3 linked regions of the Caenorhabditis elegans genome follow. The protein of the gene in region 1 interacts with the protein of each later gene in a pairwise test. Each region holds a gene or a part of one and is shown on either strand. Other genes may lie near its edges.

The links.
Region 2: the proteins of egg-3 (region 1) and mbk-2 interact in binary tests that used the Caenorhabditis elegans proteins (3 or more experiments, as listed by UniProt).
Region 3: the proteins of egg-3 (region 1) and egg-4 interact in a two-hybrid assay, tested with the Caenorhabditis elegans proteins (one study listed by BioGRID).

What each region holds. Positions count from the first base shown.
Region 1 is NC_003280.10:10,880,013-10,887,616, reverse strand, and holds egg-3 (Protein tyrosine phosphatase-like protein egg-3), read left to right. Parts: upstream 1-3,175; 5' UTR 3,176-3,176; coding exon 3,177-3,311; intron 3,312-3,356; coding exon 3,357-3,586; intron 3,587-3,636; coding exon 3,637-3,739; intron 3,740-3,787; coding exon 3,788-4,194; intron 4,195-4,245; coding exon 4,246-4,689; intron 4,690-4,735; coding exon 4,736-5,084; 3' UTR 5,085-5,209; downstream 5,210-7,604. Other genes in the region: F44F4.3 (DUF2330 domain-containing protein), read left to right, coding at 1,739-1,897, 1,945-2,121, 2,365-2,610, 2,670-2,888; lurp-1 (UPAR/Ly6 domain-containing protein), read right to left, coding at 5,228-5,404, 5,583-5,704, 5,795-5,891, 6,534-6,689. UniProt on the Caenorhabditis elegans protein: Probable pseudophosphatase required for the oocyte-to-zygote transition during which it regulates the polarized dispersal of the cortical actin cytoskeleton, the synthesis of the eggshell chitin layer and the formation of the polar bodies after meiosis I and II.
Region 2 is NC_003282.8:13,005,407-13,013,501, forward strand, and holds the start of mbk-2 (Dual specificity tyrosine-phosphorylation-regulated kinase mbk-2), read left to right. Parts: upstream 1-3,751; coding exon 3,752-3,823; intron 3,824-4,053; coding exon 4,054-4,109; intron 4,110-4,230; exon of another isoform or gene 4,231-4,251; intron 4,252-8,095. UniProt on the Caenorhabditis elegans protein: Required for oocyte-to-zygote transition in which it phosphorylates oocyte proteins, including mei-1, oma-1, oma-2, mex-5, and mex-6, modifying their activity and/or stability following meiosis.
Region 3 is NC_003279.8:3,928,674-3,937,095, forward strand, and holds egg-4 (Inactive protein-tyrosine phosphatase egg-4), read left to right. Parts: upstream 1-3,536; 5' UTR 3,537-3,538; coding exon 3,539-3,801; intron 3,802-3,849; coding exon 3,850-4,727; intron 4,728-4,775; coding exon 4,776-5,515; intron 5,516-5,585; coding exon 5,586-5,875; intron 5,876-5,951; coding exon 5,952-6,042; 3' UTR 6,043-6,140; downstream 6,141-8,422. Other genes in the region: T21E3.2 (uncharacterized protein), read left to right, coding at 2,157-2,202, 2,248-2,386, 2,433-2,871; lrp-2 (EGF-like domain-containing protein), read right to left, coding at 6,821-6,925, 6,985-7,129, 7,178-7,253, 7,882-8,422. UniProt on the Caenorhabditis elegans protein: Inactive phosphatase which acts redundantly with egg-5 in the oocyte-to-zygote transition. Required for the polarization of cortical actin cytoskeleton rearrangement in the oocyte before and after fertilization.

The sequences.
Region 1 (7,604 bases):
TCAAAAAAATGTCTCAAATGAAAATTCGATTAAAAAAATCAAGACTGAATTCAAAAAAAAACACTGCCTAAATACCAATTTCTATTTTATATACGAATTAACCGTAATACTAGTAAAATTAACAGGTCCATGAGTTGTAACAGCACTCCCACAACATACAAAATCGAGAACATTTCGGGTTTTGGTTTTGGAATTGGCTACGAATTTGTGTGTCTGATGATGACTGAGTGACCTTACACAAAATATAGTGACCGTCACCTTCTTTCTCTCTTTCTCTCGTGGCGCAGGCGCCCCAAGAAACCAAACAAAATTCGTCGAACAACAACCCACTAAAATCGTTTCGACTTCTCGGAGATGTAATGGCGTTTCGAGAAGAAACATTATGACGAAATAGTAGTGGTAGCCGGTCATAGAATTTCTGACGGATTTTGGGAGAGAAAAATACAAAACTACATGGTTTTGGAACAATTGTGAAGTTTGTTTTATGGTAAGTCTACGGATTAAAAAAAAAGAAAGATTCATTCCAATATTAAATGAATTTTTATCTACAGTACCACTTCAGTACTACTTACTAACCCAATCCCAATACCCCTTTAAAATACAGAAATTCATTTTTCTAAAACTACAGTACTCCTACAGTACCCCTTCAGCCCTACAGTAAAACTACAGTAATCCCACAGTACATCTACAGTACTACTACAGTACCCTTACAGCACTAATTAGGTGCGTCGACCACTTCTATCCTGTAGCCACTTAACTCAATATCCCTTGCAAATGCAAATACTGAGTGTTTCTAAAACTACGGTAATGCTACAGCAGTCTTATAGTACCCCTAGAGTACTACTACAGTATTCCGATCCCCTATCTCTTTAAAAAAACTGAAACTTATGTTTTCCGAAACTACAGGTGCGTCGACCACTTCTATCCTGTAGCCACTTAACTCAATATCCCTTGCAAATGCAAATACTGAGTGTTTCTAAAACTACGGTAATGCTACAGCAGTCTTATAGTACCCCTAGAGTACTACTACAGTATTCCGATCCCCTATCTCTTTAAAAAAAACTGAAACTTATGTTTTCCGAAACTACAGTAATCCTACATTATCTATTTCAAATTATTTAATAGTTTACAGATTTCTTGAGAAGAAGCACACTTTGAAAAACATTTTACTGAAAGCTACGAAAGCAGCAACAGAAATAATGATGACGTAGTAATTTTTAGGAAGCTAACCAGTTTTCAAGTCAAAAAAAATGTTATGTTGGTTGGCTACAACAATGGTCAGACGGTTTGAGGATGTTGTTGAACTACTTTTTGGAACAAATAAATACGATCAGATGACCAGAATGACGAATTCGGTGAAGAAGGTCATATGTGTTTCTGAGAAAAAGAAAACACGAAATTCATTTGCATAAATTCCTTTTTTCTTTTGGAGTTTTCAAAATGGGTCGCAGAAAAAAATAGTTTCAGGATTTTCAGAGGGTCATAATTTTTCCTCTCCGATTTTTTTCCACCATTTAAAAAAATCAAAAATTCGATTTAACAAATGGGCAATAATGTCCGAATAAAACAGTAAAAATTATTTTACTTCACTTTTAGAAATAAATTTTTAAATAATTTTTAAAAACGTGCTCACGGACGCTACTAGTCATTTTAGCTTTTTTTCTTTAAACTAAATTAATTCATTTCTCAACTTTCACATCAAGATTTGTTGCTGTTTATTTTTTTTCGAAATTAAAAAATGAAGCAATGTGCAATTGTTGTATCAATATTCCTTTCAATTCTCTTCTCATTGACTTCCACGTGTCAACAGCATTCCACGTTTGTGTTGACCTACTCTGAAGATAAACGAGCTTTTCATTCAAGGCTCTTTCATGTTTTTTATGAGCCAGATTTTAAGGTAACTCAAATTTTAAAAAAATTTGTACAAAAAATTCTTATTTCCAGTCGGTGGCTGAAATGATAAAATGTCAACTATCGGGTACTGTAAAGGATGTAACTTTGGAGGAAATTCAAGGAAAGCGGGAGCTCTCATCAATTTGTAAAATGGAAGCTTATACATCAAAAATTGAGGATAAAACGAAACAGAGAAACTATATGGCTACTATTACAAGGCAATTGAAGGTGAGTTTTGCGCCAGTTCTCGACACGACATTATTTGTGTTAAAACAAACGGGTGTGCGCCTTTAAAGAGTACTGTAGTTTCAAACTTTGGTTGTTGCGGAAATTGTTAAAGGTACAGTACTCTTTAAAGGCTCACACCCTTTTGCAATAAAAAAAAATGTCGTGTCTAGACCCGCTACCGTACTTTTCGCGCAAAAATCGAAAAATTTCGCGTCTTTTTCAAAATTATCGTTTGATTTTCAGTTTTCCGAGGCTCTGACACGATGTGACGCGTTGAATCAGCTTAATCTAATCAAAACCCCGATGAATCAATGGGCGGTACTTATTCGAGGACACGCCACTGATATTATTCTTCCCTTGAAATCTGAAAAAGGCGGTTTTAAAAAATCTTCGTTAGATTTTGCCTTGAATTCGCTGTTTTTTGCTTCAGCTTATGGTTTTGGAGATTCTACTTTCAAATCTCTTGGCGGAGAAACTGGTGTTCGAGAGGTAGGATTTTTTAATTTATTAACAAAAATTAGATTTTTTTTCCAATTTTTTATTTTCAGAAGCTCTTGTTCATCACTGTCATCGTCTACGTCGTGGTGGTTTTTGTGGCAGTTGTTGCACTGGTTATTCTCGTGGTTTTGTTCTTTATTCGAAGAAAAGCCAATATCAGAAAACGGGAGAGTGAGAAGAGCAAGCTGTTGCGAAATCCGGCGAACAACACAGACAATGATGCCCCTGTGGAAATTGTTTACGATAGCACTTCTGATATTAAATCTTAATTTTTGAAATAAATTTACATTTTTAAGTTGTTTTCAATTCAGTTTAGTCTAACGAATAAACAAATATGAAAAAGGCAGGCATACAACTATGTGCGCTACCGTATCCACAGAAGGCGCGTAGACAAATGCAAGTGACAGGTTTCACCACGATTCATCTCCCCGCTAATTTTTAAAATTATTTTCTTTGTTTTAATGATGGAAAAACGCATTTTTCTTGTTTTTTCCTCGAAAAAATCTCGTTTTTATAGTTTAATCGATTTTTTAAAGAATTTTTTTCATTTTTCCAGAATGCGCACCTCTGACAGTCATCTTCCGCTCTCGAATTTGGCTCGATCCGACAGTATTGAGTTCAAAGATGCGGTAATCAACGAGAAGTGGGTCCACTCAGCCAATCGACGAAAAGGTCATCTGACACCAAAAGCTGTGAGTAATTAAATTCTTTAAAAAATCAGTATAAATAATTTTCAGCCGGAAAAGAAAAGTGGATGGTTCGGTGGACAGAAATCGGAAGAAGAGCTGTTAATGGAGCGTGTTGAGCAGCATGAGCTCGAAGAACTGCAAACATTCATCGCCCAGAAGCTTTTCCGTGTCGATGGGATCATTTGTGATGAGGAGACGAGAATTTTGCTTGTCGAGAAGTTGATGAACGCGAAGGAATATCCAACAATTAATCATGATGAGCTAGCTCATAGATATGGGTAAAAATAATTTCGTAGAATAAATCGAGCAAAATGAATTAATTTTTCAGAAGCTCAATGGCAGGTTGGCTCCGTGATCGGCTTGTCCCTTCGATGTCTGATTGCAGCTCAGTGCTTCAGAGAGCAGCGGCGGAGTTTTATCAGAATAAGATGGTTTTATAATTTTTCAAATTTACTAGAAAAATATTAAAATATTTCCAGAGCGATCCGCTTTGCAATTGGGGTCAATTGAATCCGGAGCATGTCTCCATGGTGGCTGCTCGAATCGCCAAGTTTTCTGAAGAGATGTCCTCCAAAGTGAAATGGTCACTGCTTGTTGAGCCGGGGAAGTTCAGTTGCCACCTCACAGAGTTTGTGCAGGAGTTCAACCGGCTCGATCGAATGTTTGTGAGCAATGAGTTGTCAGATGAGGAATCATTGCAAACTGCATTCAACGCGAATTACCTGACGAAAGCTCGCAGTAAAATGGTACCTTGTGCAGAGTTTTCGAGGGTCAAGCTGAATGATGGTTTAGGCCGGCTTGATGATCGAAATGAACTGAGAAATGGAATGTTCTCCGATGAACACGAGTTTTTGCAGGAAGAAGGGTATACAGCCAAGAGTACATAGTGAGCAAAGTTGAAAGTTGAAAAAAATTCAATCAAAATCCAAATTTTCAGTGGAACAACTGATTTCATTCATGCAAACTATGTCAAAGGAGGACCACTACTGAACACATTCATCTGTGCACAGGCTCCATTGAAGAACACTCAAGAAGATTTCTGGCGTATGGTCTTCCAAGAGAAGTGCCAATTCATCGTGATGCTCAACTCAGCAGTTGATTCTTCAACTCTTGGTCCACTCGACTCGGCGAATCGTAATCACTGTCCGTACTATTGGCCTCGTGCTGAGAATGAATCTCTTCGTTTTGGATCATTCCATATTACTTGTATGAAGGTTGACTCGAAGGCAGATCCATTGTTCACCATCACTAAATTGAAAGTTCAAAAAGTTGGCGGAAATCTTTTGGATGCTGAATTCGATGAAGAACTCTTTTTGGAGCACTGGCAGTGGGATTGGCAATATTTGGGAGATGTGCATTGGCCATTCCGCGTTTTGAGAAAGTGGGTTTTTTTATCTATTCAACACCAATCAAATTTCAATTTACAGAGCTCGTCAACTCTCCACACCTACAATTGTTCAGTGCATTGATGGATGCTCCAAGTCAGGAACTCTAGTTTCCATTGAGACTGCTTTGATGCATTTTATCCGTGGATCTCCAATCACCAAATCACTAATTCTTCAATCATGCGTCTTCGTTCGTCTGCAACGTCGTCTCTCCGTCTCTTCAGTTCTTCTCTATCTCTTCATTTACCGTGTCATTCTTCGTTGGATCGAACCTTATGTCAACAAGTGGTACCATCGAGCCGCGCTAGGCCTTCGCTTCAAATCGATCGGATTCATTCAAAAGTATAATGCTATGATCCAGGAGTTTAGCCGTATCACACCGGCTTATTAATTTCTATTGTTCTTGTATTATGATCATTTTAAATTTAACCCACTTTCCATTAACTGAATTGTATTTACATGCATGCATCTCACTCCCATATCACTAGAATCGAAAATGAATTATTGTAAATTTTTATTTTTTATTTGTTTTATCTAAAATCCAAATATTAACGCTAGAGCAAAAACTGAAATAACATTTAAAATAATAAGAGGGTAACCATATGAGCCATTGGTTTTTCGTGCAGATCTTGAATTCATTGAGTATATCGAGTTTAATTCGGTTTGAGTGGCCACGTTGCACTTGTTTTCTTTACAGCAGCAGAATGAAAACTGCAAGTAAAATATGTATAGGGATTACTGTAGATGTCATAGGTCTCGCCACGCGGACAACAGGCTACTGTAACTCGTGTCGATTTATGGATTTAATTTGAAAAATATTGGCCCGTAAATCGACACGAGCTACAGTAACTTGTTGTCTGCGTGGCGAGACCCATTATGCTCCACTCACATTTCCTTTCATTCCATCATAAAATGAAATATCCTGACATTTTCCTTCGCTCTTTTGGCAAACTTGACGATCACCTCCGGTATAGGCACATCGAGAGGAGATTCCTTGCTGGAAAATTCCATCTGAAAATGAAACTTGGTATTATTGTTTGGCAAATGAAGTAAAGTGTTCCATACATCAAATTTGACGCACAAATTCGAAAAAGAGCTCACCGTCGTCTAGAGCTGAATGTAGAATCACTTTTATACAATACATTGCCGAGCACATTGCGGTGTCATTTATGTGGAAATGATTTTCTTCAACTGATGCCTGGAATGTTATTTATTATAGGGACGCAGAAAAATGCGCGTTTTGAAAATGAGATGCAAGCATGCTCCACGGCTGAACGCTCCCAATCGTTGGGTCTCGTTAGGTATTTGGCAGGAGAAACCGTAAAATCAAACGTTTTCGATTATTTCCTTTTTATGCTTGTAACTTTTATCGTTGGTTTTAATGATTTTTATATCGGCACTATGTTTAAAAATTTTTCATTTGACTAGGAATTTTATTTTATTAATTTCCACAAAAAAATTAATTAAAACAAAATTAGAACCACAAATAGCCATCAATACCTAACGAGACCCAACGATTAGGGGCGGAGAGTTTTAAATTTGGCCGAAGAGCGCGATTGCACATTGATTTCAGAAACCGCTTTTTTTTTTGGCAATATTATATGATTATTTTTCTAAAGATTTTTGAAAATCAAAAGAATTCCTGCGCGAGAAGCATAGGTCATGTCAGATGCACCATGTTTTTTTTGATAAGGCTTTGCAATTTTTGTTACATTTCCCATCAAACCATGCCTCACCGATTGGGAAACAGCCAAAAAATAAATATAAATATTGTAAATTATATTCGCCCTCTTCCAGAATTTTTTTTCGAATTTTTCATTCTTTGGAGTTAAAAACTCACCTGCATTCGTCCCACAAATCCACTAAAACAATCATAAAGAGCCAATGTGGCTGATGGAAATAGAAGAAGCGGGAGTAGAAGTAACATCTGGAAGTAACAATAGGCACAAAAGAACAAGAAGAAGAGAAAATGGGAAAAAGGAGGGGCAAAAAGCATGTGTTTGTTATCTTCAAAGTGCTGCTGAAACCTGTGTGCATGTGCATAATCGTTAAATAAAAAAGATGGAAACGTAATAGATTATTGAGCCAATAAACTGGGTGGCGGGGGAGGCAATAAAGGTTAATAAAATCAAAAAGTTCAGGGTAAGTTTCTCTGGAACTTTGGAAATTGCCACTGAATTGAAAATTCCGTTTTGAACTGTACAGTTACTGTAGTTTTAGTACTTTTTTCAAACGAAAAAATTCGAAAAATTGATTTTTCTTGAGTTAAAAATAATGAAAATCTTACTATCAAACTTGTATTTAAAAACCTACATTTTTCAGATGATCTAAAGGTTTTGGTAATTTGACAAATTTTCGGAAATCTTTTTTAACAATATTGTTCTAATTTACATTTTTCTACTTTTCCTTCAATATTTTCTAGCAACCATCTTGAAAATAATTTTTAAAAAAATTCTTTCCCACTGTCTCTACTCTACATCCACACAAAGCATAAAACTACAGTAACCGCCCAATTATTTTAAAGGTACATTCCACCTTTTCAATCTCTATATCAGCAAATCTCTCAAATGGTTAACGGAACAAATGGAACATAAAAGTCTAAAAATTCTCCATTCGAGCTGCGCCAAATTTCATTTTGTGTGGCGTTGTGCTTGTCGACGTTTTTCGAGAGGCTCACGCTTTCTTCTTCTCCTTTTTCTTTTTACCCAAATTTTTGCATGAATCGAGAAGCTTTGGTCATTTGTCATTTGGGACGCTAGCTGACCGACCAGCTGTGGGAATGGATATCTAGATTAGGAATTTTGCAATTTTCGAATAAAATTTTCATGGATTAGTTTATAGCTATTTATAACTTTGTTGCGCTAGAAACTGTTGCAAAATATTCATACCGGCCTTCAGGCAGACAAGGGAC
Region 2 (8,095 bases), on another chromosome or scaffold:
CTTGTTAAAAACTTGGAAACTTTATCAGACATTTTTTGAGGACTATTACAATTCCATTAGGCTTCTCCCATTCTCCTCTGCATTTTCTCAATTCTTTACCGATTAACTCATGCTCGGTCGACTCCGCCCCTCTTTCTCTATTCATAAATTCTTTTTGCCACTCGACCTTCAGTTTTTTTTGTTGTTGGATGATTCGCTTCTCATCCTCCACTTTTCTTCCGTATTCCACCCGTCAATTCCTTATTGTTTAGTTTAATATCTCTTGACAATCACTTTTTTTTGCTTTCAGAATATGTCGAGGATCGAACACTGGAACAACTTCATTCATTGTAACATTCTCCTTTTTTGACTAATTCCTTAAAGGGAAGCCGCGCCAAACATACTGATGGCGGCTGCTCTTTTCCTAATCATTTCCCCTTCCACAATATTTGCTCAGTTCATCCGAAAATTGGCATTTTGGACGAAAATTTGAGATTACGGTATTGGTTCTAAACATAATGATATTTATGTTTAAAATGTTTGATATTGAAATTCAGATACTATAAAAATTTAGGAAAATGTTTAGGCGTGCATACCTGCCTACGCATCTGCCTTGGTATACATCCAGTTTACATTTTCTATGTAAACAAAAAATTTCTCGTGCACTTTTACAGTTTTCGCGCATGTATGCAGGAGGTAGGCATAGGTTGCCTTAAAGGCTTAGTAGGCAGACAGTCGTTTTCACCTGAAAGAGTCAGGTGAAAAGATCTCAGTCTAGATCTCACCACAATTTTGAATTCTCCCATTTGTACTCCCTAGGTTTTGAATATGTTATAGTATGGGAAAAGTGACTCACTCATATGAAATTTTCGCATAACTTTTGGAACTTTCTTTCTGGAAATGCAAATATAGTTTTTAAACTCTGAAATAATGTGGACGTTTCAAAATGTGGAAGTTTTCTTTCGAAACTTATCAAAAGTCAAAAAATTTTTGAATTATGTTTGGAAACTCTTACTTAACTTACTAACATATAGCTGTAACGTTTTTTATAATCTCAAAATAATGATATTTTAAGATCTAAAATCTGACATTTGAAAAAAAAATCTAAACAAATAGCATTTTGTAAGCTATGCAATTTAGAAATTTTTTGAGCGATCAACTAAGCTCCCGGGCTTCAAAATTGTCGGTGAAGAGTGAAATAATTTTAAAACTTTCAATTCCAATTTCTATTACCTACATGTTTCTGTCTTCACTAAGACACCCATTCCGGTGTTCTCTTACCATGCTAATAAATAAATCACGCACCGTCCGAATGGCCCTTCCCGTCCGTAAATGCCGTGCCATTGGTTCCGCCCGTCTTTACCTAGATATTCCATCAGATACAAACACTCTCATTCATTCGATTATAATCGTCGATACCAGTCATTTTTGTACCCCCTTTTCTCTTGTCTCTTCCCCTCACTCACCCTGCTCAAACACGCCCAATTTACTATGACCCCGAATGCACTTTTTTCTTCTTCTTCTTGTTCTATACCATTCTTTCACTCTGAGGGAATACGCCTTCGCCCCGCCGAACCACCCTTCATCACATATCCCTATGAATCTTTCACACTTTTCTCTTCTTTCTCGCTCATCCATTTGCTTTTTTTCTTTGAATTTCTAATTACCAGGCTGCTGTTTTTTCTTTGGTTTTTGGTTTTACACGTGATAGAATTTAAGGTTTTCAGGCGTTCTTGTCTAGTGATTTATAGGCCGTAGGCTCGATACAGTCAAATATGCCTACCTGCCTCGAGTTAATTTCATTTTTCTAATAGGAAACACATTTTAAAGGTTATTTAAGTGAAACATAAAATAAACTTACGCAGTCATCCATGTGTTAATAAAAAATACGGCCTACATTCCTGCCTTGTTGTACGCTGGGGGTAGGTACGAGTCATTCGTTGGCAGGCAAATATGCCTACTTACCTCGGACCAACTCAATTTTGAAAATTGGAGAAAAAATTTTAAACACTTACGTGAAAGGTTAAACCGGTTTAGGCAGGGTAAAACCGGTTTAGGCTTTGTTAGGCTTGTGTTAAGGCTTGGGTTTAGGCTTGTGTTTAGGATTGGATTCAGGCTTGGGTTTAGTTTTTTTGTGCTTGCCTACCACATATTTAGTTAATTTTAGCAGAAGCTCTGGTTTTCATTTAGGCTTGCTTTTGCCAAGCAAATATGCCAATTTTCCTCGAGTCTACATACTATGCTAATTGGAAAATTTTTCAAAAAGTAACTTTGCGTGAAACCCAAAATAAACTTACACGGTCATCCACGTGGTATGAAATAAAAATAAATTGCCTTTGTTCAATTATTTTATTACTTTCAATTCTTCTCACTTTTTGCACATTTCGTTAACCGTCTCACAATCAGGAATCCAATGCCAGATAAGTTATTTGTACACAATTAAGCTTCAATAAGAGAGAATTCTCAGGTTTAATCTTAGGCTAGGGTTTAGGTTGCTATAGGATTTTAGATTTGCTATGGGCTTAAGCTTTTGTTTATGATTGGTGTTAGGCTAAGGTTCAAGATAGGGTTGGATTTAGGCTTGAGGCTTGGGGTTAGGCTTGGGTTTAAGTTTGGGTTTAGGCTTGGGTTTAAGCTTGGGTTTAGGCTTGGGTTTAGGCTTGGGTTTAGGCTTGGGTTTAGGCTTGGGTTTAGGTTCAGGTTTAGGCTCAGGTTTAGGCTCAGGTTTAGCCTCAGGTTTAGGCTTGGGCTTAACTTTGAGTTTAGACTTGGGTTTAAGTTTGAGTTTAGGCTTGGGTTTGGGCTTGGGTTTAGGCTTGGGTTTAGGCTTGAGCTTATCCATTCTTGGTCCCTATCCTCTATGCCTTCCCTAACTTCTATTTTTTAAATTTCAGCCTGTTTATTTCTAGACTCCCCTTTTTAATATTTCCTGCCGCTGATCATATGATATCCATATTTTTGCATTTTATATCAGACATCAAAAACTATTAGCATTAAGTTTTCATAAGGCATGCTTTGAAAACATTTGGAATGCGCAAAGATTATGGGAAGAAAGTTTTGGAAAAGTTCAGAAATTTCCCTTACAAGGGGAAGTTGAAAAAAAACCATTTTGGTCGGTGCCAGCTGATGCTCCTCTCGTGACTCTTGATAAGCCAATTGTTAGTCGTAAAAATGGGGAGAAGAACTTTAAAAGTGCGTAAATATCTAGTTATCTCGTTTTCTTATCACTGTTGTCATTGTGCATCTAACGTATTTCGGTTCACTAATAATAAGTTTCACGCTATTTTGTTTTTATATTATATTGTATTTTCAAAGCAAGTTCACTAAAAAGTTTTGCTCCATGCGTTCCAAGCATCCACTGCCTGCCTATCAATTTATCATCGTTCTCCACCCCGTTAGGTGTACCATTCAAAAAACGTTTGTTGCTCCGTACTCTATGTCTCCAATTCCCATATGCTCTTCCACAAACCCGCAACACAACACAAGTTTCTGCAAAAAAAAAATTTGGTGGATTCCTCCTAGAGAGTAAAAGAGAAACAGGGGGAGAAAAACGGACTCTTCCAACATCATTTGCCCCTTTTTCTTATCTGCTCCAACTTGTCCCCACGTTCGGTGAGGTGTTTCTCCCATTGATAACAAAATGTATTTGATCCGATTACCCTCTACTCGTCGTCAACTCTCTTATTACCCCCTACCACAAATTGTATTAAAAAGTACAAAAAATTTTTAGGAATTCTCTCCCAAACTTGCAGCAGTCTAGAGTAGTTGAAGCATGGCTGCTCTTGCCTCGTTCACACGTAACAGTCGAAGTTACGGGCAACAACCGATTGATGTTACACAACAGGTGGGTGTGCTATACCTCTATTAGTAGTGCATGTAATTATAGTTTCAAATTGAAATGGAGTTTGAAAATTTTTAAATTTCTCCTCTGAAAAAGTAAAGATATTGACTTTTTTCTGAACTTTTGTGTGATTTCTTAAATGTTCATTTTTGATATTACTAGTTATTATAGTTCTACTAGGATTATAAAATTCTAAACAAATTGCTCCTAAAATTCAAAAAAAATCATTTCAGGGTCAGCGAGATCGCAGTGTAATGAGTCTGGATGCACAAGGAAGATCAGTTTCACAGTGAGCTTTTGATTCTTTTTCTCTTCAAATTTTTTCTTCAATTTTCCCACTAAACGTATGTAGTTTAAAATATTGCAATTTCGAATTACTTTGAAGTTCTTAAGGAAATTTCTAGAAATATTCAAAAGTCGTGCCTGCAGCAGACGGTCATTTATTTTCCTTGAAAGCCCCCCCCCATTGACCACCATATGGATCCCATTAAACTTTACACCCTGTGGGGTCCTTGAGAAAACTTTTTGATGTTTTTTGTCCATTTATGCTTAACCTGATTAGTTGAAAAGCTGGTGTAAAGGGCCTAATTAGTTGGAAATTGGAACATGTTTTGAAAATCACAATGTATTATTGTAATAGAAATCTAAAGGCGGAACAAGGAAAAAAATCAATGAAAATTGAGATCGAGAACCCTTCTCATTCAATGAAGAGGTGTTTTCTTTTCAATAAAAAGGAGGAGTGGGGGGAGTATTTGTCATCAAGAGTACCCAAGAATGGTATACCAGCGATTTCACAATTAGATTCACAGTCAATCATTTCTTTTTTGATTCAGACCTGTTTGATTTTGCAATTTTAATCAGGATTCAATACATTTTTGTTAAAAATTTTGTTTTTCTCCCACTTTAATAGTTTCAAAACATTCATTTTCTGAAAACAGCTGTTTTAGAATACCTTGAAGCTTACATACTCTAAAACAAAACAGTTAGACCTAAGCTAACGTAGTTTATTGGCATTGGCGTTTGAGTAAGGCGGCCCCGTTGTCTAGTCACAATAGAAAGGGAGTAATGTAAATTGTTAAATTGTTGGTAGGTATATCCTTATGCCTGCCTGCCTGCCTACTGTTTGCTGATTTCCTTTATTTTAAGTTGAACTCTGGCCTTTAGTGTTCACCTCATGTAAGTTTACGCATATTTTATAGTAGACGTAGAGGTCGGTATTTTTTTGGTTAAAAAAAATTTTAAAAAAATCAAATCACTTCCTCAGCCACTTGCAATTTTAAGCGACTTTTCAGTAGAAACTTATGCTTCAATTGAACAATTTTTCAAATCCTATCTCTCGTCGATTTCTCACAATTTTGAATGTAACAACATTTTAAACGAGACACACAAAGTGTAAAAATGCTCAAAGAGTCAATCAGTGTTCCCTTGGCCTTTTTCTCCCTTTACCCTCTCTTCGAAGAAAAATGATAGGAAAATATCCGGGAAGGGAGAATTTAGTTGCACGTCATGATGTTCTCATCAGAAGTTTTTTCCTCCACTTTTTGAAAATGGAACTTTAATGACTCCTTTTGTGCTTGCCCCCTTAACCCTATCCAATTTCAAGACGTTTTCTGATTGTTCTTCGAAGTACGATTTCAATGTGTGTGAGAAGAGGAAAAATGAGATAGATTGTACTTGAAAGTAGACAATTTACAGAAAACGAACATTTTATGGTTTCTTGAAAACAGGTTGATTTTAGAGATTTTTAAGTGTCAAGAGATTTGTTCACTTGAACGAAATAATTATGGAACTTTTTGATCTTGTTAGATTTAGTTAAAAGAAAAATTCGCAAGCCTAAGAGCAAATGTGCAAAAATTTTATTTTGTTCGTTGTGATACAAATGTTGCAGAAAACTATTTTTCCTGAATTTCCATACATCAAGAAATTGACCAAGAAAGGGTTTTTCTACAAATTTTCAGTTTTAATTTTTTTAAACATTGTGAAGGTTCTGTTTGAAAAATTCAAAGTTTGCAAAAAATTTTGCCAATTCGCCAAACCTTGTGCTGAAGTTTTCAGAAAACTACGATATTTTTTTCCAAAAAAAAGCGTTCCTCACAAAAGTACCGTATCAAATGTTGGTCATCAAAAATCCGCACCGAATCTTTCCGATCTTTGTCTCTCTGTATCACTTGTGTTAGTCTTCAGTCCCGCTTTCCCCACCCTCCCCCAGATAAGGTTCTCGCGTTCCCCTATCTATCCCCACACACACACATTTTTATTTTAATTACAAGTACTAATTCGGTAGTGTTTTCTGTTTTCTTTACCTGTATGGTGGAGACTAGGAGGACCTTGCGGTCGGGAAAATGAGGCATCGTAATCAAACCAACCGAGGCAACACACACGCCGGGCCATGATGGAAACAACTCGTAAAAAACCCGTCTTTTCTATTCTTCATCGTTCTTCGCCTCTCTCACAGGGATTCCCTTTTTCATTAGTCGTTAGGAGAGGCTTTCCATACCTTTTATGATTGTATACAGTGATCTACAGATTCTTGAGATGTATGTACAATTTTTTTTTGTTTTTGATCTACCTGGTCAACTCGCAACGATCCTCCGCTAGCTGGCTTTGTGTGTTGTTTAGCACTTTCTGTAGTTTTAGAAATTACTTCCTATTGTGAATGACCAAATTTCCAGTTTTTCAGTAAAAATAAATACTTGTCCTATTTATTGCCAAAATGGTTGGAGCTGTAAAAACATACAGTTTTTGCAATTTTTTTTTTGGCTTTTCTCCGAGATGTCACAGTTTGCAATTTTTAAACTACGGTTTTATAATAGTTGTAAATCAAAAAGTTTACTGTAATTTTTTTTAATTCTCAGTTTTAATTATTAGTTTTTGACTTACTAACAAATTTCGGAGAAATTTTTTTTGATCCGAAACGATCTAACTTTTTCAAATTAAAATTTTTAATATTTGCAAAAATTAGTTCTACAAAACAACTACAAACCTGCTTGATTCTGAAATTTCAGCCAAGTTTAGCACTTTTGATCAAATTGCATAAGCTTATAAGTCCTCCTCCTCCTCCTTCTCGAGAGCCCCAAAACTCTTACAAAGCTGTGAGATTTGTACTTAATACTACACAATAATCGCCTGTAAATGTAGTTTCCAACACAAATTCTATCTCCTCTTTTATCGCTCCCTGCCTTCATTCATTCCTTCATTTTCTTCTGGAAAGAGGCGGCTCTTCCTCGCGCGCGCAAAAGCAGGGCTCATTCCTCTTTGCAAATATGAAGAATTCGCTGACTGATTCGAATATTTCTAAGAAAAATTTCAAAAAACTTCCAAGTCTTCCTGATGTTTCGAGGTGAGGTTTTGCATATAGTAAAAGTCGTTGAATTTTATTTAAAAATAGTTAAAAAGTTAAAAAGTTAGTAAGTTTAGTTAAAAATTTAAGTATCTGGAAAACTGGCAGGCTTTCAAATATAATTCCCATAGAGATTGTGAATATTTTTTTGAATTTGTGAACGAAAAGTTTACAGTGGGAATTCCGCCCAGCCAAGGCGTCACGGAGACGCTTCTCATTCGCCTCTTCGCCCTCCCCTCACATTTCCGACGGCATTATGAGCAATTTGTCACATTTGTTGTATTGAATTCAGCGTTGCACAAAATTACAATTCTTTCTAATTTTTAAACCGGAATTTTTAGGCCCCTCGTTTCGTTAAGCCTTGATATTTTTTTGCCATTCGAATCACTTGACAGGCAGGTGCTCGAATTAAGGAACGGCGCCAAACCACATATTTCTAATCAGAACATCTGTAGTCTGAACGATTATATTACACTTGGTCAGGGAAAGATTTTTGATAATTTTTTTGTTTCACTGCAAAATAAGTTAACATACGAGGGCGGGGCGACATGTCTCGGGGTCTGAAAACGCCTCCATATACCCGGAAATGCCTCCCCTCGTCTTATGTCCTTCGTTCAAAACTGCCGGTAGGACCCGATGCTCCCCAATCTTCGGGATTTCTACTTTGTAAAAAATATTTTTCGAACTTCTACCATTATCCCTCCTTCTCACTCTTTAAAGATCGGACACCTCGATACCCCCTCCCCGTGTAGTTTATTACCATTGAAAAGTTTTAATTGACACCAGTTGTACCTCTACCATCACGCCTTTTCTTTCACCGTCTATGTCTCTGTCTCTCTCAATTTCCATTCAAACGTTGGTCGATCTCCTGCCTGTGTTTCCATGCGAAAGTGAAAACGACGCCGCCAGAAGGCATCGTACCTATTAATAAAATG
Region 3 (8,422 bases), on another chromosome or scaffold:
ATTTCAAAAAGGCACAGTTTCAAGTTTTCCGTTTTATAAAAAATCGCTCTAAAAACTTCCGGTGAATTGATGTTCGGCAAACGGCAAATCGGTAATTTGCCGAAAATCAAAACTTCCGGCAGATCGGCAAACCGGCAATTTGCCTAAAATCCCAAATTTTTTCAACTTTTCCGTGTCAAAGCTGTCGAAAATTAAGATGTACCCTTGGCAGATATACGTGATTCATAAAACTCGAATTGGTAACCATGGGGATTACATTTTTTTTTGTCGTACATATCAAGGAGGACGCACTCTCAACTGAGATACGAAAAGAGGAATGTGTTTGAAGAAATATAATGCTCACATGTTTTGAGGAATTGTGGAAATAGTCTCTGAAAAAGTGCAACTTAATGGGGAATTTTTCGGGGAAATCAATTTAGATTAAAGTAACATTTTTACTGTTGGGTACTCCTTTAGGCCATTTGATCGTCTTTCAAAGCAAAGTGACCACGGCGAGCTCTGTGAGGTTGTCAATAAGCAGATATACATGCCGAATCGAATGTGGCCTCAGAAGATACAATAAAGAGTTATCTAATGATTCCGGGCAAAGAAAACCTTATAGATTTTGGCACTTACACTTCTCGCTCGAAAAAATCAAGAATATTGAAACAAAAATTGAAAAGTACATTATTATAACGAATAAATTTCAAAAATTTTCGAAATTTACGAAGAATTTGTCAGAAAAAAATCTCAATGACTTTAACCACTGAAGAGCACTCAAAAAACATGCTCAATGTTCAAAAAGCCGCAGAGTGAGTAAATTTGAAGCAATATACGTCTGCCGAAAGGGTTACGGTAAGTGTTTGTGACCAAGAAGATAACTCACATAAAAATGACTGTGAGAGTAAGAATGATGATATAGAGCAGCAATATAATGACCCACCGTCCACCAGACAATCGAATGTTTATAATAAATTATTATCGATCTGTGTTAGCACTTTTTAGGTGAATAGGTTCAAATTGAGGAGCAAAGAGAAATAAAAAGAAGTACATAAACTGAATAATTAATAGCCGTTTTCCCATAAGAATCTGTAGAGTCCGTGGGCTTTCGCTTCAACAGACAGATTTCTCGAAAAAAAATCGGAAATGTTTTACGGCGGGACAAAATAAAAATAAAAAACCAAAGCTAATTCGTCCTTGTCATGGAAGCTGGAACACATTTTTGCAATTTTTCGCGGTTTATCTCGAGTTTTTATTGATCTAGTCACATTTTAATTCGATATGCACCTAATTTTGGTTTAATATGCCAAAATTAATGAATAAACGCGAGATAAATAACTGAAAATGCGATAAAAAGTGAAAATCTCATAAAAACTGTATTTCAGCAGCTGCGATCAGGAAAAGTGGGGCGAAATTCCAGATATTAGCAATTTTTGGGTCCTTTTCCAAAATATGATTTGCAGAATCACCAAATTTGATATCTAGTTAAAAAAAATTATATGGAAAAAAGAGAATATTAATATTAATTTTACGTGAGATTAAGATACGAATAGACGAAGAATGAGCGGGAAATGTAGAAAAGGTACTCCGTTTATCTAATCTTCATCTTCCACATTGCCTGCACTCTCTCTATGTTGAAATATATCAATAATCGATTCCATGCAGTGACTGTTGAGTGAAAAAGGACCTGAACACGGCAAGAAAATATAGAAAAATTCACATTTTCTGCGTTTTTCTCGAAATCAAGTAACAAATATATCGGCGCTTTGAATTATAGCTTACAGGTTGTTTGAAATGGCAAGAAATTATCAGATTTTCTCCTAAAAACCTATAAAAATCGAAAAAAAAGAAAGGAAACAACCGAAAATCAATGTTCGAATGAAACATTTGCAATGAAAAAAAAAAAAAGCGTTCGAGAGAGTGAGAGAGTATGAGTGAGGAATGCAACGACGCTCTATTGACAACAAGTAGAAAACATTTTAGAAATTACCAGGTCGGAAAGAAAGAAATTGTTCAGTGAATACAAAATGAGAAATGGAAAAGGAATAAAATTTGAAAACTAAAAATAAAATCCAAAATTGCGGAAATTCAAACGTGTTGTGTAACTTATAAACCGAATTAAAAAAAAGGCCAGTGCAAATCGAAGGTTCAATTATTTCTAGTAATTAATTATAAAAATGGCATGCATTTTTGCTGAATTAATTCTTTTCGTAGTATGGACAGGTATTCCGGCAATTTTAGATTCAAAAGCGCATAACCGTATTTCAGTTATGTTTATTTCGTGCTCTAAAACGAGCCAAGCTTCAAAAGTGGAGGAGAAAAAGCCGAAAACCTCTTCAATCACTACAAAAACCATCACTTCGGCAGATTTGGCTGACAAAACCGATGTCAGCAAAACTTCCACTCCGTAAGATCCTCGAAAATGTTTTATAAACACGAAATAAGCCATTCAGAGTCAGCACGAACTATTCAACTGTGTCAAAAACGATTTCAATGCAAAAAGAAGTCGAGAAGAACCCCAACAGCGCAGAGGACTTCAATGTTAATCGAAAGAAAACTTCGAAATTTCAAATTTCAAAAGAATCTGTAGCAGTTGAAATGAAACCAGATTTCAAGAAAAATAAAGATGTTGGCGGCAAAAAGGAAAAAGCAAAATCAGCGGAAAAACCGAACAAGAAAGAAATCACTCCGCCACAAACCATCAAGAAAACGTCAATGGAGAAGGCTGGAAAGGAAGAAGATGTGAAGTGTGATGAGGAAGTTTCAAGAAATAATATGGAAAGATCTGATCGAACTCTTCATTTTTCGAAGAAAATGATTCGTGGCCCCGTGAAGCCTGAAGAACAGATGGAAGTCGAACCAACTCCGTTATCTTGGAAAGGAGGACCATGAAACTTGATTGAATAAATTTTATTATGAAAAAAGTGAAAATATGCAATTAAATAACACAAAAAAACGCATAAGATTCAAAGAAAACAAAAAATTTCGAAAGAAAAATCAATTCGAAAAGTTTCGCGTACATTGCATGTCAATTGACGCAAAAGTGCACACATTATTTGTTACCGTACCTTTGTTGTTCTCATTTTTTGAAAGTCACCGCTTCGATCCTCACCATGAGCATAATCGGATTTTCCGTATATTTAATGTTTATAAACAATTTTTAAATAATATATTTAATTTTATGTAATTAAATTTGCGTTTTCCGTTGTAAATAGTGCGAGATACGGTACGCGAAAAAAGTACGCAAGTGCACACATTATCTTTTACCGTACCTTTGATCTTCACAGATTTGCTCTACGATTTTGGAAGAGCGCGAAATTTTGTATTTTTCCGCTCAGCGAAATTGTTTTCTGGTATGCGCATCCGAAATTTTTCTTTCTTTTTTCTCCTAGAAAATCGGTTTTTGTTCGTTTAGGTGCTTTAATAGTGTTTTTCGCAGTTATTTTATGGAATCGCCCGCATACTCGACTAATTTCCATTTCGTTTCCTCCTAAAATCTTTTTTTCTGTCTCTTCTGCTCTTAAATAATTATTAGCTTAAGCTCATTAATTTTCCAGGTATGGCGTTGAACAGCGAAGTGATGTTCCGCGAGCAAATCAACGCGATGCGCTCACAAGCTGGCCGGAAGCGTGCGACGTCGCTTCAAAGCTTCTGCTCCGGAAACACCGACGACTCCTCGGCGGATAGCACCGATAACATGGATATGATGGTGGATTATCCTCAACAAAAGGGAGTGAGCTGCATGAGAGCCAGATTCAACAGCGAAAGCACGCTCAGCAAGAGTTTCCGGAAGAAAGTGAAGAAGCTCGCTCAGAAGGACAGGTATTTTGAGATTCTTAAGTATTAGAAAATTAATATTCTATGTTGCAGAAGATCCAAGGAGCGTCTGAACGGAAACTCGGAAGAGGATGCGATTGAAGTCCCACGTGGTGCTCCGTCTACTTATGCAGCTCCATCGAAATTGCGGAAATCCAAAGCTCTCGACTGTCTTGTCTCCGAGAAACCAAAGGACGAAGGAAGACGCGAGGATTCCGGGCATGGAGCCGACATTGAGATGGCAAAGGGACACTTCAACAATGTTCGGATGAAAGTGTTTGCCGCCCGAACTGCGATGCAAGTGGAGCCGGCGTTGGTCATGAAGACTCGGAAAGCATTGGAGATGAAGAATGCTGTCCTAGAAAATCATCAATCGCCAGGAGCTTTCTCTCTTCATGCAGCCTACAAAATTGCAGCTTCTGCAGAATCCCGTGTTGGATCGATTACTCCATGCAATAAGAAGGTGACAAAGGAAGCAATGGCTAATTTGATTCGTTCAAGTTATGATGACACCGAGATCACTCAAGAGCTGCTTTTCTCTTCAAAGTTCGACACGAAATGGAAGGGTCGATACACAGACATCTACATGCGTCGGGATGAGAATGGAAAGAAGCCAAAGCGTCCAGTGAACGGTCAAGGATGGGTGATGCCGTTGAAAAGCATCTGTGAGAAGTTCGGAATCAACTCAACTTTCTTCACAAATCATCGCATCGATCTGAAATCCGCAAGAGATCAGGTGCTTCTGATGCGCCTTCTTTCACATGATCAAACCAGCACATGGATTTCGGATATTCATCCAGAAGCCGTCAAGAATGAGACAATGGCTGAATACCTACTTCGTGAACTCGACGCTTCTACGATGCAAAAGCGAGTTCAAGCTTTCAAGGCAAATGTTCTTGCTGACAGAGACCGAGTTCGTGTTGCTGGACAGTGTAAGAAAATAAATTATTATTTTCCTTAATTAATTAACTTTTTTTCAGTCTACAACAACATTCGAATCGGAAAGCGGATGTTTGGAGCAGCGAGAAAAGCGAAGTATCTGTCAACCATCATCGGAGGAATGGAGCGACGCTTTGAAATCCTCGAGAACTCGGTCAACCACATCCCATTCACTCACTCAGCTTCAGACAACAACCAGGAAAAGTGCCGTAATCCACGTGTTCACTGCAAGGATTCCACTCGAATCGCTCTCCAATTCCCACGCGGTCAGTATCTCGGAGATTTCATTCACGCAAATCGGATTTCTGGAAAGCCGCTGTTCAATGAGTTCATCATGACTCAAGCTCCAATGAAGAACACCGTTGATGATTTTTGGAGAATGGTTTGGCAGGAGGAAGTTCCATACATTGTGATGCTAACCAGCAGAAAGGAACCGGAAAGATGTGAATATTACTGGCCAAAATCTCCGTCGGATCCCGCCGTTACTGTTCCTGGTGGACTTCGAATCGAGAACTTTGGTGTCTATCAAGCTCCAGACCCATTGTTCCGTGTCACTCATCTTCGTCTCATTGGACCGGATCGCGAGGAACGTCACGTGGAACATTGGCAAGGAGACGTGAACAATTCATCGAATATGTACTCTCCATTAAATATTCTTCGTTTACTTCGCAACGCGTCGAAGCCAGTCGTTATCCATGATCATTTGGGAGTTTCTAGAGCGGCTTGTCTTGTTGCTGCCGAGATTGCCATTTGCAGTTTGCTCCGAGGGCCAACTTACAAGGTTTGTATCAGAATTTAGTGACTTTTTAAGTTGGAAATGGTGAAATCAATTCAATTAAACACATTTTCAGTACCCAGTACAACGAGCTGTCCAATTTCTTCGTCAGCGCCGTCCATTCAGCATCGAGACTCCCATGCAGTACATCTTTGTGCATCGTCTTGTTGCATTCTTCTTCCGTGACGTCATTGGAAGTGCAAAGGAGTTGGATGTCGATTATGAAAGATGGCTCCAAGAACGATCCGAACGCATGTTCCTTGATGATCTTGCTGCTCCAATTCCTGGCTATCGTTTGCTGTCTCCAAGAGCAGATCCAGACATTGTTCGAATGGTTGGAAGACCGGAACGACCAAACTACAGACGGTATGTTTTATTTTACATATTTAAAAAATTATTCGAATTGAATTAATTCTCTTTCTAAAAATGTTTTATTTTTCAGTGAGGCACCCGATTGCGTTGGAGAGATGCCAAACAAGGTGGCGACTGTCGACGGGATCCTTTCACCAGCGAAGAGCGTCTTCGAATTCTAATTATCATGTATACTAAACCTCCACTCACTATTATTATTTTTATTTAGAACATTCTGTGAAATATTGCATGATACTGTATAAAATGCATTTTAACTGTCAACTAATGTTTACGAATTCAACACCGAAATTAAAAATGGATTTTTTGTTTTGTTAAATTAGGAATTGAATTTACAGATTGGAAGATCTTTTGGGTATATGGTTCTTGACTGTCGAAGTGGATATGAAAGAGACCCGGCGAATCGGGGGGATTGCTGGCGGCGGGGGATCCGGATCGGGGGGATTGCCACGCCCATAGAACCGTGCGGAAATTCAAATTTCCTCCGCACAGTTAATTTTTTTCTAAGTCTTTCAATCCCTAACATCTCTCAACTTTTGTTTTTTGAAACCGTGCGGAAGTTGCGAAATTTGAATTACCGCACGGCTATATGGGCGTGGCCAATCCCCCCGATTGGGGTCCCCCGCCGCCGGCAATCCCCCCGATTCGTCGGGTCTATGAAGCTCATGTCGCGTGCCTACAGACCCAGTTAGAACATGTTTTAACAGTCAACTACGGTTTAAGAATTCAAAACTTAATTGGTTATACCAGCTTAAAAAGAAACAGAACAGAATCGTCGAGGACAAGAAATAGAAAATAGTTACAACAAAACAAGGACCCTGTCGACAAGAGAAAATGATATTGAAAATGAGTTTTTTTTTATCAGTTTGTTAAGGGAATAAGGAATATAAATAGAGAAGAAAGCTGTGGCAAGTGAAAATATAGGAATTGAGTTTCAGAAAGTTAATTCGAAGATCTATTATTCGGCAAAAGTTCATGATTCTCGACGGTATCATTGTAGATCGGAACCATTTCTTGTTCAAAAACCGGATTGTTGAACGATCCTCGCTGAAATGTTTTTTATTTAAATGTCCTAAAACTTGCTGAAATAAAGAAAAAAGGCTTACATCGTGAGATGAGACAAGACTCGTATTTTGGGTGACTAGTTCGATGCCGCCTTCATCGATCAAATATGCAGGATTACTGAACTGATCGACAGGTGCACCTTGATTTTGAAGTGGATTATGACGGAATTGACGGAAAACTGCGAATCTGTAGAAAATAGTTATGAGGAGAAAGTTTAAAGAAATAATGTCTTACCTGTTGGAACGATTTGCAAAAATTCCAACAACGATGACTATGGTGACAAGGATAATGGCAAGGACGACGAATGATTCTGAAAATTTGACATGTGGCATTTTTTTTGGTAAGTTAAATGCAGGCCAATTTGTGTTCTAACGACTTGTTGCATTTAATATAATTTCCTTGTTATTTGAATTGTTATCTGAATGTTACTTGAATTCACGCAAATCTTAAAGGCGCGTACACAAAGCTGGGCTTAATAAATGCAGAGCGCGACGAGACCAGTTTAAATAAATGTGCACTCTTGCATAGTTTAAAACCGGTTTTATAGTGCGAAAATGTCCAAATACTTTTTTGAAATTTTTCACATAGAATCAAAAAATGGCAATTACTCAGTTTTCACCTATTATAATTTGGAAGTTGAAATTTTTTTCAATGATTTTTATACTTCAATTGCGCTTCAATTGTACCATTTTAACTTTGTAGAGGTTTGAACCTGCATTAATTATGGGGTTATTCCAGTAGTGTCGGAAAATTAAAAAGTGTATTTAAATACACTTTTTCATTTTCCGACACAGTTGAATAACCCCATTTCTCAAAAAAGGCAATTTTTTTGGAAAATTTAGGCAATTTTCCAAATTTTTTTGTGTACACAGTTAGACTAAATTCCCACTGACGCTACTGCATCTTCAAATATTTCAAATTATAAAAAAAAAACTAACTTATCCAACCACTGTCATCATCACTGAATATTACAGCATGTTGATGAATGCGATATTGGCACCGATCTCCAATAAACGCTTGATAGCATTCACATTGTGGCTCAAAGTACTCATCCAGCGTACAATTTCCATCGTGAAGACAAAAGTTTTCACAGGCATTCGAGCTGCACAGTAGGCCCTTGAAACCTGGAGAACATAGGCATGTTGGTGAAGTTCTATTGGCACTTGGGTCGGGTTTCAGGCAATATCCTCCATTTTTGCATTCCAGTTGATGGCAGGATGTGGCAGTGATCTTCTCGCAGTACTCGCCACCAAGGCCTTGTGGACATTGGCAAATTACAGTTCCAGATGGTTTTTTGATGCATTTGGCTTCATTGGAGCACTCACTACATTTGGTCTCCTGCTCACATCGGAGCCCCTTGAAACCTGGCTTACAATCACATTCGAAATGTGTTCCATTTGTGATTGTGCATTTCGAGTTGTTCGTGCAATAGTCATCACACTGGACGGGAACATCACATCTAGGCCCGGCGAATCTTGG